2 linked regions of the Caenorhabditis elegans genome follow. The protein of the gene in region 1 interacts with the protein of each later gene in a pairwise test. Each region holds a gene or a part of one and is shown in the gene's direction. Other genes may lie near its edges.

What was found. Proteins that work in one complex are often made in the same cells at the same time.
Region 2: the proteins of rpb-8 (region 1) and cdd-2 interact in a two-hybrid assay, tested with the Caenorhabditis elegans proteins (2 studies listed by BioGRID).

Annotation. Positions count from the first base shown.
Region 1 is NC_003281.10:4,916,743-4,923,725, reverse strand, and holds rpb-8 (putative DNA-directed RNA polymerases I, II, and III subunit RPABC3), read left to right. Parts: upstream 1-5,717; 5' UTR 5,718-5,720; coding exon 5,721-5,827; intron 5,828-5,884; coding exon 5,885-6,011; intron 6,012-6,147; coding exon 6,148-6,360; 3' UTR 6,361-6,483; downstream 6,484-6,983. Other genes in the region: Histone-lysine N-methyltransferase set-2, read left to right, coding at 1-143, 191-301, 351-515, 569-724; mmab-1 (Corrinoid adenosyltransferase MMAB), read left to right, coding at 2,072-2,108, 2,183-2,434, 2,777-2,999, 3,046-3,178; ula-1 (NEDD8-activating enzyme E1 regulatory subunit), read left to right, coding at 3,410-3,524, 3,572-3,908, 3,961-4,050, 4,095-4,204, 4,256-4,440, 4,487-5,062, 5,109-5,327; rars-1 (putative arginine--tRNA ligase, cytoplasmic), read left to right, coding at 6,619-6,669, 6,716-6,981. UniProt on the Caenorhabditis elegans protein: DNA-dependent RNA polymerase catalyzes the transcription of DNA into RNA using the four ribonucleoside triphosphates as substrates.
Region 2 is NC_003282.8:7,544,730-7,551,557, reverse strand, and holds cdd-2 (Cytidine deaminase), read left to right. Parts: upstream 1-3,664; coding exon 3,665-3,809; intron 3,810-3,905; coding exon 3,906-4,087; intron 4,088-4,132; coding exon 4,133-4,306; 3' UTR 4,307-4,440; downstream 4,441-6,828. Other genes in the region: oef-1 (C2H2-type domain-containing protein), read right to left, coding at 140-189, 531-684, 1,847-2,036, 2,088-2,317, 2,361-2,467, 2,512-2,620, 2,673-2,864, 2,908-3,000; pam-1 (Puromycin-sensitive aminopeptidase), read left to right, coding at 754-799, 1,369-1,513, 4,441-4,545, 4,655-5,293, 5,370-5,604, 5,650-6,578, 6,625-6,828.

The DNA of each region.
Region 1 (6,983 bases):
CGACTGCAATCTTCAGTGAAAGAGATGAAACCGCGATTCGGCATCAGCATCTGGCCAGTAAAGATATGAGATTGCTCCAACGTCGATTGCTTACGTCACTTGGTGATGCTAACAATGATTTCTTCAAGATAAATCAGCTCAAAGTAGTTTTCCAAAAAAAAGATGTTTGCCATAAAACATAAATTTACAGTTCCGCAAAAAGATGATCAAGTTTGCACGTTCTCGTATTCACGGATGGGGTCTCTACGCGATGGAGTCGATTGCACCAGATGAGATGATTGTGGAGTATATAGGACAGACGGTCAGTTTTTTTTGTGAAATTAAATTCCGAAGTATTGATTTTTTTTCAGATCCGATCTCTGGTGGCCGAAGAACGAGAAAAGGCTTATGAACGTCGTGGAATCGGAAGTTCATATCTGTTCCGAATTGATCTGCATCATGTGATCGATGCAACAAAGCGTGGAAATTTTGCTCGATTTATTAATCACTCGTGCCAACCTAATTGCTACGCGAAGGTACGTAGTTAATTTGATAATCTGATTTTAAAAAAATAATTTAAAATTTTTAGGTTCTTACAATCGAAGGCGAGAAGCGGATAGTCATCTACAGCCGAACAATTATCAAGAAGGGTGAAGAAATCACGTATGACTACAAGTTCCCAATTGAAGACGACAAAATAGATTGTCTGTGTGGTGCGAAGACGTGTCGTGGATATCTTAATTGATATGATTCGTCTAGTTTTTAAAATTTATATTCCATTCGATCTCTTCTAGTTTTTTAATATTTTTTATTTATTTAAATTTTCCTATCCAATTCCCAATTCGCTGGTTCGAAGTTGGAAATTGCTATCTGATAAGAATAGGCCGGTTCCTACTTTTTTTTTAAATATTGAAAACTGTATCATTGTTATTCATTCTCCTTATGGTGAGCTGAGAAATCCTTGTATTATTAGTGGAATTCGTTATTGTTGAACAATTGTTTGAGTGTATGTTATACGATACAAGCTCCCCTTTTCAACTAGATACTTCTACATTTTATCAAATCTCTTGTTTCTCTATAGGTTTACGAATTGTTTTCTTGGAGGATTTCCTCTACAGTCTCTTGTTTATCTCTCTATACTTGAACATCTCTGAAATCATTCATTTTCCCTTGAACTCTGAACAATTGGTCTTTCCAAAACAACCTCCCATTCAAGTCTTTATTCATTCGTGTTTAAAGTTAATTTCAGCTAGTCTGAATAGTTTTATGTTTTAAAAAGTGTTTTATTATGTTCTTTAAATGAAATAATTTTAAAAGTCATGGTTTTCGTATTTTAAAAAATTTTGTTCATTTCAGTTCGATTCATATTTCTGGTATTTATCAGCGATAGTGAAGAGACCCGAAGAACTCGGGGGATGTCCAACTGGGGGGATTACCAACTCGGGGGATTGGCCCCGCCCACAGAACCGTGGCTTGCAATACGCCCATTTCTGCAACTGCCGCACGATTTTAAAATTGTATTTTTATCAATAGAGCGAGGATTAACAAGAAAAAATGATTTTAAAACCGTGCGGCAGTTGCAGAAATGGGCGTATTGCAAGCCACGGTTCTGTGGGCGGGGCCAATCCCCCGAGTTGGTAATCCCCCCAGTTGGACATCCCCCGAGTTCTTCGGGTCTCATAGTGAAAATTAAACAGGTTTTCCAGTTTACTATTTATTTAAAAAAATACCTATGTATATACATTTTTTTAAAAGTTACCTAGGTTCGAAACATGACCATTTTCGGTTCAAAAAATATGATACCGGATCTTTTCAATAATTCATGATTCGTTTTGTCATGTTTTTTGTTTCAATAATACCAGGGTAATATTATGCATCATCTCTCATACCAAATAATCTATAGAATAAGCTCGAAAATTTAAGAAAAATTTACCATTAGCAATTTCCTTGTCACCACGTAGTGGCCACTTTCAACTGATAAACCTATGTTTGCATTTAGATGATTCGGAGTTGCGTACGGTTGGCATCACAATCGACGAACAAACTTCTCATTTTTTCCTCATTGTCCCGTAACAGTCAACTCTACATTTCGATGAGCTCTTCTGATTTGGGAAGAGGATTTAAACAAGGTAAACGTCTAAAACCATCGATTATTTCAACTGAAAGAGCAACCGATTTTACTACGTTAAAATTAAATTTTCAGGCCGTGGAACTGGTGATTCTGGGCAATCTTCTCTGTACAACAATGAGCGTCGCTGGAAAGATGACGACACTTTCAATGCTCTCGGAGCAACCGATGAATTGTCTTCATTTCTTGGTGTCTGTGGAGCATCTGCTCAAAACGATGGTTCAATGAGCGATGTAGTGGAGACATTAACACGCCTTCAATGTTGTCTACAGGATGTTGGAGCTCATCTTGCTACTCCACCAAAAAATTCTTCGGAGAGAAAACAAAGTGTGTTTTTTTTCTAAAGAGTGAAAAATCTAAAGTTTCCGTTACCGATTTTCAATTTTGTATCTTTATTTTAAATCCCGGAAAATTCTTTCGAATCAAGAAAGTAGTCGAAGTGACTTGGTATTTTCAGAGAAAGTCAAAAAACTGAAATTTTTTCGGAAACCAAACAAATTTTTTCAAGTTTGGTTTATCAAAAAAAAAGTTAATTCTATTGAATTAAAATAAAATAAAAATCACATATAGAGGAAAGATCGGAGATTTTCATATGAAGGTCTCTGGCTTTATATTTTTCTAAAAAATAATTTTTAAAAATCACTATTGAGCCGTATTCTATTCTTTCAGAGAAAACTGCATTCGATATTGCAATGGTTGAATGGATAAATGCAGAAATCGATCGATACGGAGACGCGTTGCCTGCAATCCGACAATTTATTCTTTCTGGCGGTGGAATGACGTCTGCTCAATTACAGTATTCCCGCGCAATTTGTCGTCGAGCTGAACGGAGTATTGTTCCACTTATGAGAGACGAAGACGTCGATCCAATGGCATTAAAGTTCTTGAATAGGTACTATGGTTATCGATTCATCGTTAGTAAGAAATATCAATTTCAGAATGAGCGATCTTCTATTTGTTCTCGGTCGTACTGCCTGCATGAGAAACAAGAACGAAGAGCTGACATATCTTCGCCCCGATTCGTTCACCAATTTGAAATGGGATCGTAAATCTCTTCACGAGAAAAAATAATTTTTTTTATAAATATGTAGTTATCATTCTTGTGAAACTCGCCATACACTTCGTGTAAAATTTTTATTGAATAATCTTGCCATAAATATCAGATTTGTCTATATATATTTTTCTTTTTTGAGATTCTTTATAATTTTTTATATTAATTGATTGTGAACTCTTCATAATGTATATTTTTGTTTAGAAACCAAAACGAAATTTTCAGATTTCCAACTTGTATAATTTTAGAAAATGCTACCATTTGACCCATCCACTAGATACGATCGTCAAGTTCGACTTTGGGGAGAAGAAGGACAAGCATCAATTGGTTCAACAAGTGCATGTGTTCTTGGAAGCGATTCGCTAGGTATTTTTGAAAAAATTGAATTAAAAATCCAATCTAAATATTTTTAGCAACAGAAATATTGAAATCGTTGGTTCTCGCCGGTGTTCAATCATTCTATGTCGTTGATGACGCCAAAGTTGAACAAGCTGACATCGGTCAGAATTTCTTCCTCCATGCAGATGATATTGGACGTTCTCGTGCCGAGGCAACATTGGAGAAGCTTACCGAACTGAATCCATCAGTCTCTGGTAGTGCAAGTAGTCAGCCACCAACAGCGTTAGCTATGGAAGATGTGGAAAAGCTGACAACGTTTTCTGTGGTTGTTGCTGCAAATCAAAATGAAGAAATTGATACGACGTTCGCGAAAGTTTTGTATAATATTAGAGTTCCATTCATCTGTATCAAGTACGATATTTTCAAAATTTGAAGTTCTTGCAGTTAAAATTCCAAAATTCAGAACTTTTGGACTAATTGGTACCATTCGAATCTGCATCAAAGAACACACAATTGCTAACTCACACGAAGAGAATCCGAGACCTGATTTACGGTAAAATATACATGAAAACTTCCAAAAAAGTTTTTATTTCTCAGATTGGATGCTCCATTTTCAAAGCTTATTGAAATGATCAATGAAACAAATCTAGATGAAATGACTCTAGAACAACTCCGCCATACTCCGTATATTCTTCTTCACTTCAAAGGTTTTTCTCGCAATTATGGTTGTATTCTGTTATTTACCTTCTTAATTTCAGCTCTCGAAGTATTCAGAAAGCAACGAAATGATCCTGAAGCGTTCCCATCTACAACTGCGGAACGTAAAGAACTTCAGGCGATTCTTATGAGTTTCCGACGTTCGAGTGAAGAATCCGGAACCAAGGATTCTGAGAATTTTGATGAGGCGAAAGCGGCGGTTATTCGAGCTTTTCAAAGAACTACGGTAAGTTTTTGATAAATTATCCAAATTGATTCTCATTTCTAGTAAGTTTCAGATTGGTTCTTCTGTAAAATCGATTCTCTCTTCTCCACAATGTTCAACATCGACACGCCCATTCTGGTTAATCTGTGAAGCTCTTCGTCGTTTTGTCACCGAGAATAATAATCTTCTGCCTCTTCGTGGAACTCTTCCTGATATGACTTCTGATTCTTCTCGATACACTCGCCTCGCAACTCTTTTCCACGAAAAAGCTCTTTCAGATGCTCAGGAAGTGCTTCGTTTGACACGTGAAGTAGAGAAGGAACGAGGTGTTGGTGACGTCATATCGGATGACGTTTGCTATCGTTTCTGTAAGAACGCTGATCGGATTCGAGTTCAGTATGGCGATGTGCTTGACTACAACGAAGAAACCAAAGCAATTGTTGAGAAAATTCGTGAAAGCAATATTGATGAAGAGACTAGAAATCAGAAAGTTGATGAAGCCACGTGGATGCTACTGATGAGGGCAGTTGGAAGGTTCCAAAAAGAAAAAGGACGTTACCCAGGAACTAATGGAGTTCCAGTTTCAATTGATGCTCAAGATTTGAAGAAGAGAGTTGAAGTTTTGATTCGAGAAGCTTTGAAGGTTTATTACATTCGTTAGTGAAATTAAAACTATTAACAAATTTTAGGATGAACAGGACTTCACATCAATCTCAAATAAAGTGACAGACACTGCTATCGCTGAAATTTGTCGTTTTGGTGCTGCGGAGTTACATGTCATTTCATCGTACGTCGGTGGAATAGCTGCTCAAGAGATTATCAAATTGGCTACCAATCAATATGTTCCCATTGATAACACATTCATTTTTGATGGACATACTCAGGAGTCGGCAACATTCAAATTTTAGTTTAATTTATTGGTTATTTCGCGAATTTGGTTTTGAAACTGTTCCTTGTGGCATGACATTTGTAAATGAGCCTTATTATCAGCAAAGATTTAAAATTTACAAAATAAAACTTTGATTCAAGATTGACATACTGAATATATTCATGAACATATTCATGGACATTGGAACATTGCAATTCGCTCATCTCCCATTTTTAGATATCCCCGGAAACCCCAATTTGAATGCCCGCGCAAAAAAGAGAGAATCGTTGCGAAACCCGCGCGCGTAAATGTTTGCACCTTTAAGTTTTTTGTTTCGGTTTTCCATTTCTTCGAGTTTCTTTCCTCAATTTTTTCTTGTTTACCAACTGCTTATTGCTGTTTCTTATGATAAAAACTTTCTTTATTTTAGAAAATGGCTGGAATTATTTTCGACGATATGTTCAAAGTGAAAAGCGTGGATCCAGACGGCAAAAAATTCGACAGAGTTTCTCGATACTTCTGCGATGCTGAGTCTTTCAAGTGAGATTATTTTAACATTAACTTTTTTACTGACTATGAGAATTGAAAATTTTTTAGAATGGAGCTTATCATTGATATCAACTCGCAGATCTATCCACTGAAGCAGAACGACAAAGTTCGTCTTGTTCTGGCCACTACACTCCGAGAAGACGGACTTGCCGATGAAGGAGAATATGATCCAAAAGTGAGTTTTTATCTTTTTACATTTTTTAAATATATGTTTGCACTACCTGTCTCGTTTTGACTTGGATAACTGATTAGATAACTGAAATTGAAAACTACATTTCACTTATTGTGTAACTCAATCGTTTCCCTTTCAGGCAGAATACCCAAGAATCAAACAGTATGAATATGTGATGTACGGAAAAGTTTACCGCTTGGAAGACGATGATACTGGAACTGACGGCGGAAAGCTCGCTGCTTATGCTTCGTTTGGCGGTCTACTGATGCGTTTGAAGGGCGAGGCTATCAATTTGCATGGTTTCGAGGTCGACATGAATCTGTACCTTCTCATGAAGAAGACTGACTTCTAATCCGCGACTGAAAGTTATTGATTATTTCATTTGTTGATCCGTTTTCTATTTGTTCTACTGTTTTTTATCTCTTTCCAATCTTCACTCAATTTGATCTTATTCTGATTTGTCAGACCGAATTTTCTTTTACATGAAATTTACATTGTTACAATTAAAGTAATTGACTATTTTGTAATTTTCAGTGCAGCAAGCCTGTTAAATATCTTCTTTGATATTCTCAAATTTATTTCCAGCAGTGTGCTTTTCAGGGTTTACAAAATGTCAGCCAATAAAGAGCTGCAACAAGGATACTCTGACTACTCAGCAGCGGTGAGTTTTAATTCACAAGATGTGGAAGTTTTTTTTATCATTTCAGTCCGACCAAGCTGCGCTTCTGAATCGTCTCATAACTGCCATGCAAAAGGGAGAGCTTACTGACGAACTTTTGGAACATATTCCGGAACTCGGCGATGCCAAGAAATTGAACGATAAGCTCAAATACCGGAAGTCGATTCTCGAGAAGAGCATTGCCGAACAGGCAGCCAAGAACAAGAAAAATGGTGTGAAAGCAACATCAACTAGTTCTCCATCTTCTTCTACCTCTGCTCCAGCCGAGAAGAAGGCCAAAAAAGACGGCAAAACGT
Region 2 (6,828 bases), on another chromosome or scaffold:
TTGAATTATATTTACCGTGTTCAGCTGTCGCTATACAATTTTTTTTGAGAAACAGGTTCATTAAATGCAGAACAATTATCGAAACAAAAGAGTACAACGGGTATGGTGAAAAAAAAACAGGGGAACATTTAAGATAAGACTATTCTAGATCGATGACGCTCTGAAGACTGCCAGGTTCACTTTCTGAAACTATTTTCACAATTTTAAACGATTGGGATAGTGATGATTGGAGTTAAATTGAATTTCATTAATTGAAAAACCTACACTAAATAAGAGTATTCTGGAAATGAGTAGTTTTAATTTAGAAATTCTTTTTTAGAAAACCTAACCTTTCTGGAAGAAATTGTATTGAAAAAAAGTTTTAAAAACACCGAAAATTATAATCATCAATAAAAATTTCTTTTCAAACGTTTACTATATTTACTACTCCTACAAAAATTTGGAAAAAAACAAAATAATGCTGAGAGCGATAATATTTCAAAACCATCCAAAAGAAAGCTGAAAATTCTAATCTAAATAATGACATTTACCTTTATTTCCTGTATCTATAGACTCGCTTCGAGCACCTTCTTCAGAATCAGTTTCATCCTGATTATCAAAAATATCATAGTCTGAATCCATCGAGCGTGTAGGTTTTCCGCGTTCAGAATTATCCAGACGACTTTGCTTGCTTTCTTTTCCATTCTAAAAATAACATTGATTTTACAAAATTATATACTAAAAATCTGTAATTCTGTCGTTCCAGATTTCAGAATGCTGGGAAGATTAGCAGTTCGACAGGCTGTCCGTTGCAGTAAAGGTAATTAATTTCCCGTTTTCTAGGAAATTTTGTAATTTTACATAGCTTAGAAGTAATTGCAAAAAAAAGCAGATTTTGCAGATTTTGGTCATGTGAGTTGATAAGACTGACAGCTGATAAATTCAGTACTCTGAATTCGTGGAAACAATAATATTAAATGATAAGTGTCACTTGATCAACTGTGCACAACTATACTACTGAATATTGTGAAATCTGGTCATCTAGATATCAGCAATAGCATGGTCAGAATAATAACATCCTAGCCGTTAAGATCAGCACAGGAGCCAAAAATACGGTACCCGGTCTCGACACGACAAATTTTTCTTAAATACAAGGTCTGCCCCTTTAAAGATTACTGTAGTTTCAAAATCTCGATTCTGTAACATTTTCATCCTGTTTTAAACCTATTTTTTGAACAAACACATCAATTTTATTGGAAAACAATGAGAAAAACGAGAGATTGAAGTTACAGTACTCCTAAAATGAAATTTTTCGTGTCGAAACTCGGTACCGTATTTTTGACTCAAAAATCGCTGTTTCGCCTGTTGTTCATTCTAACATTTTTACAGCATCCATCAAGCCCGTCAACACTCATCAGCTTTGCCTGCGCAATTTTTCGGCCATCCGACGTCTTTCATTTGTCGCCGGCGCCCAGTGCCGTCCCTACCACACAACAGCAAACATGCTCCATCGCACGGCAAGAGGCGAACACGGGTCAGTTCTGCGTCCCGGTGTGTGTATGTGTTTTTGATGACAATAGTGTCTCGAAGTGCCAACCTCTAACTATCCTTTTTCGTTATCGAAAATGGAAGGGTGGGTTCTAACGTCATTCACCCTATTTGTCTATACGTCTGTTATGTTTATCATTTTCACACCAATCTAAAGCAATTTCCACGAAAAATCTAATGATCTTACATTGTGTCATTCTGAAACATTTCATTCTACTGATAGGCTTCACGACTTCTTCCAGTTTCTATTAATTTTTTCTCCAAAAGCTTATTTCTATGTTTTTGAAATATTTACAAAAACCTTTTTTCAACAACTCACATCTGTTTTGCTTTTATCAGCCACAGTGCTGATATGGATAATTTCACCTCCTCGAACAATTCTGTACGAGGCCTTTTCGGAGAGATACCAGGTGTTTCCGTTTCGAATTCTACGGCTTCTGGGAACTGGAAGATGACGCAAGAAGCATTTTTCCATAACTGAATTGAAAGTTGACACTTGCTCATTGGACCTAAATTTGAATCGAATTTTTAAAAGCATTTCTTCAATGTGATTTTCCTACCATAAGTCACGAAATTCAATTTCCACGTGGGTTTTATCGTGGTGTTCAGAAATATGTTCACATGGTGATTTCGACACAGGAAGAGTTCTCAAACAGTGGACACACTCATAGCGTTTTGCTATGTCTACATTGAGAAATTCCGATTCTGGGTGGGCGTCTAGAACATGTTCAGTCTGTTTCCTAATTTTTGTATTTCGGTTTCTACCGGTTTCCACTTCATGCTTGCACAGCTGAAAATTGTAGTTGAATCTGACGCAATTGTCGGGGTCTCACCGAACAATATGCCATATCAAGTTGATCTTCCTTTCCGTTTTCAACGATTATCGAGTCATTTGGTGTTTCAGCATCCATTGAGTTTACCATAAACAATTGCGGAATATCTGTTATCAGCGAAATATTAAAAATTAAATGAACGAACTCTTACTGTTTACAATGTTCTCTGATTCGTGATCATCCAAAACTGCATCTTCCTCGATGTTAGTTGGCTCGAGCAAAAGTTTCAACGCATCCGAGTTTTCGGCGAAAGTTCCGCGCTGAAATACTTTTTATTATTTTCGAACAATATTCGAGTTATTCAATCCTTACCGCCCATTTCTCTAATATTTCTTGGTTTGAAGACATCTGAATGGCGGGTTGGTTTGCTTCCGAAAACGGATCAACCGATTTCTGTTCCTCGGCTGTTTCTCGAAAATTAAAAGTTCCACTGTCCAATTTATCCAAATATTCTTTCATTTCTTCCGGAGTTGACGAGAAAATGTGATTCAAGTGATTGTTCGTCTAAAAATATGAATTAGGAAGAATAATTAAAGAAAAAACTCACCAAATAGCGACGAAGCTTTCGTGCAGCATTAATTTGTTCGATGTTATCATCGATACTCACAAGTACAAACCGTTTTCGCAATGATTTCGGCATTGTTATAAAAAGAGAGACAAGTTTGAATTGAGTTCGAATTCGTTCGCGAACGAACGTTCGTGGTCGACAAACTACGGTACGCTGGAGTACGCAATGAGATACGCAAACACGCTCGCGCATTTTTTTGACTTTTGTAATGCGCGCGCGCGCCACGGCCCGGCAAGTGGTACATCTATGCAAATGCGCTCTACTGATAATTTGAGTGTAGACCAGGTTTGGGCGCGTGATAATGAAAAAAGCTTTGGTCCAAAAAATTTAGAATTTAATTTCGGACATTATTTATATGCATCACAAAAAAACTGGACCAACCGTTTTTGAGATACACGCGCCCAAACGTCCAGGTATACGGTAGACAAATTGCGTACAGGTACCACTTCTCGGGCCGCGCGCGCGCAAAAATGTCCCGTGGATTTTTCATTTCACCAATTCTCGAAGTTGAGGCTGAAAAATAGTTGCAAAGTTCCCATTTTGTCATGTTTTTTTTAAATATAACGCGACCCGTTCACTGAATATGGGATTTAACGTCACTTTGCATGCGTTCCACAACGCAAATTCTTTTGTGTATTGCTAACTTTTCTCATCAATGTTGTTCTCTGTTCTTCTAATAATTTAATTCGCCTCATTCGCTTCTCATTTCATGCACTTTTGTCATAGTTAACTACAGATGGCCGCGAATAGTCTTCCTCAAGATATTTCCGATGTGGAACTAGTTCATTTGGCCCGAGCTGCGATGAAACGGGCACATTGCCCATACAGCAAGTTTCCAGTTGGTGCAGCGCTTCTCACTGAATCTGGGGAAATTGTCCAGGGTAATTTGTGATTTCTTGTCGTTGCATAACTCGAGATGTCTGCGGGCTTCTCAGTTTCGCAACATGCATTTTTGAAGTTTCTAGCATTTTCTGTAGGCTGCAATGTCGAGAATGCTTCATACGGTGGCACTATCTGCGCTGAGCGTAGTGCTATTGTTTCTGCTGTGTCACAAGGATACACGAAATTCCGTGCCATTGCTGTCGTCACTGAGCTCAGCGAACCTGCGTCTCCCTGTGGACTTTGCCGTCAATTTCTAGTTGAATTCGGTGACTATAAAGTAAGAAAACTAGAGCTTCTTAATTTTTCACTGTCATCGTTGCAGGTTGTTGTGGGAACTGCATCTAACAATAAAATTCTCATCACCTCAACTCGCGCTCTTCTTCCATTTGCTTTCACTCCTGAATCGCTCGACACTTTTGAGCAAGAAAAAGCATCAGAAGCTAAAGGATTAAAGCAAGATGATGCCACGGAGCATAACGTTACAGTCGTCTCTTAATTTTTTATTCCAATCAGAAACTCCTTTCCACATTTCCCGCCATTCCTAGTAGTGTTTTTTTTCATTTGTGATATCCTTCTCTTTCTTTCAATTTAGTTGTGTCAAAAATTCATTTTATTAATAAAACTTTTCAGAATGGCGGCCTGTGGAAACCCAAGCGCGGCGGTCAAATTTGAGAGGCTTCCAACATTCGCCGAACCAACTCATTACAACGTCCGTTTATCGCCATGCCTCAACCAGTAAGTTCTGTAATAATATTTCAGTTTAGCTAGGACGGCAGTAATAAATGTTGATATGTAGTTTAAATTTGCAACAAAACCACTTCAAGTTCTAATTCTTGTTTTTCAGATTCTCTTTCGATGGTCATGCAACGATTGACGTCACAATCAAAGAAGCTACTGATGTCTTGAAGGTGCATGCACAGAGTTTGCTGATTCAGTCGGTATCGCTTATCACTCAGCCAGGAGACGCTTCTAAATCTCTCGAAACTAGCTACGACGATAAGCTCAATATTTTGACTATCAAGCTTCCGACTACCATGCAGCCACAGAAGGTTCAGCTCGACTTCAAGTTTGTCGGTGAACTGAACGATAAGATGCGAGGATTTTATCGCAGTCAGTACAAGGATAAGAACGGCACCGAAAAGTTCTTGGCTTCAACTCAGTTTGAGTCGACTTATGCTCGCTATGCATTCCCATGTTTCGATGAGCCAATTTACAAGGCAACTTTCGACGTTACTTTGGAAGTAGAAAATCATCTGACCGCTCTCTCCAATATGAATGTAATCTCCGAAACACCGACTGCTGATGGAAAGAGAAAGGCAGTTACATTTGCAACTTCACCAAAGATGTCATCGTATCTCGTCGCTTTCGCCGTTGGTGAGCTGGAATATATCAGTGCACAAACGAAAAGCGGAGTTGAGATGCGTGTGTATACTGTACCTGGAAAGAAAGAACAAGGTCAATACAGTTTGGATCTTTCTGTGAAGTGAGTTATCTTAAAGAATAATTTTAGCTGAATTTTCAGTAATAATTCAAATGAAGTTTCAATTTCTAATTTTCAGGTGCATTGACTGGTACAATGAGTGGTTCGACATCAAATACCCTCTTCCAAAATGTGACCTGATTGCTATTCCGGACTTCTCAATGGGTGCGATGGAGAACTGGGGACTTGTCACGTATCGTGAAATCGCTCTTCTTGTTGATCCAGGAGTCACGTCCACCAGACAAAAGTCTAGAGTTGCTTTAGTCGTTGCTCACGAGTTGGCTCATTTATGGTTCGGAAATCTTGTGACTATGGTAGGGAATTTTCAACTAATAAACATATATATTCATTCTTTTCAGAAATGGTGGACTGATCTTTGGCTTAAAGAAGGATTTGCATCATTCATGGAATACATGTTCGTTGGCGCTAACTGTCCAGAGTTCAAGATCTGGCTTCATTTCCTGAATGATGAACTCGCGTCTGGAATGGGACTTGATGCACTTCGAAACTCTCATCCAATCGAAGTTGAAATTGATAATCCGAATGAGCTTGATGAGATTTACGATTCGATCACTTACGCCAAATCCAATTCAGTCAACCGCATGCTCTGCTATTATCTATCGGAGCCAGTTTTTCAAAAAGGACTTCGCCTCTATTTGAAGAGATTCCAATATTCGAATGCAGTTACTCAAGATTTGTGGACCGCACTGAGCGAGGCTTCAGGACAAAACGTGAATGAATTGATGTCCGGTTGGACCCAACAAATGGGATTCCCTGTGCTGAAGGTCTCCCAGAGACAAGATGGTAACAATCGCATTTTGACCGTGGAGCAACGTCGATTCATTTCCGATGGAGGTGAAGACCCGAAAAATAGCCAGTGGCAAGTGCCAATTACAGTTGCTGTCGGAAGTTCTCCAAGTGATGTGAAAGCCAGATTTTTGCTAAAGGAGAAGCAGCAAGAATTCACGATTGAAGGTGTCGCTCCAGGAGAATGGGTGAAGCTCAACTCTGGAACAACTGGATTCTACCGAGTCGAATATTCGGATGAAATGCTAACTGCAATGCTGCCCGATATCGCTTCTCGCCGAATGCCAGTACTCGATCGATTCGGATTGATTAATGATCTCTCTGCTCTTCTCAATACCGGACGTGTTTCCATCGCACAGTTTGTTCAAGTCGCAGCTTCTTCCGCAAAAGAAGATGAATATGTTGTCTGGGGAGCTATCGATGAAGGAATGAGCAAGCTCTTGGCTTGTGCTCGTGAAATGTCCGAAGACACTTTGAAGAGGTTTGATATTAGCGATTCAAAATTAATTGACAGTATATTATTTCAGTGCTAAACAACTCGTCGTTAAGATGTTCGAGCAGACTGGGGCAGAGCTCGGATTCGCAGAACAAGCTGGAGAAGACTCGCAGAAAATGATGTTGAGATCGCTTGTTCAAGCACGACTCGCCCGTGCAGGTCATCAACCAACAATTGACAAGTTCACTCAGATGTTCAATGATTTCCTGGAGAAAGGAACGCCAATTCATCCAGA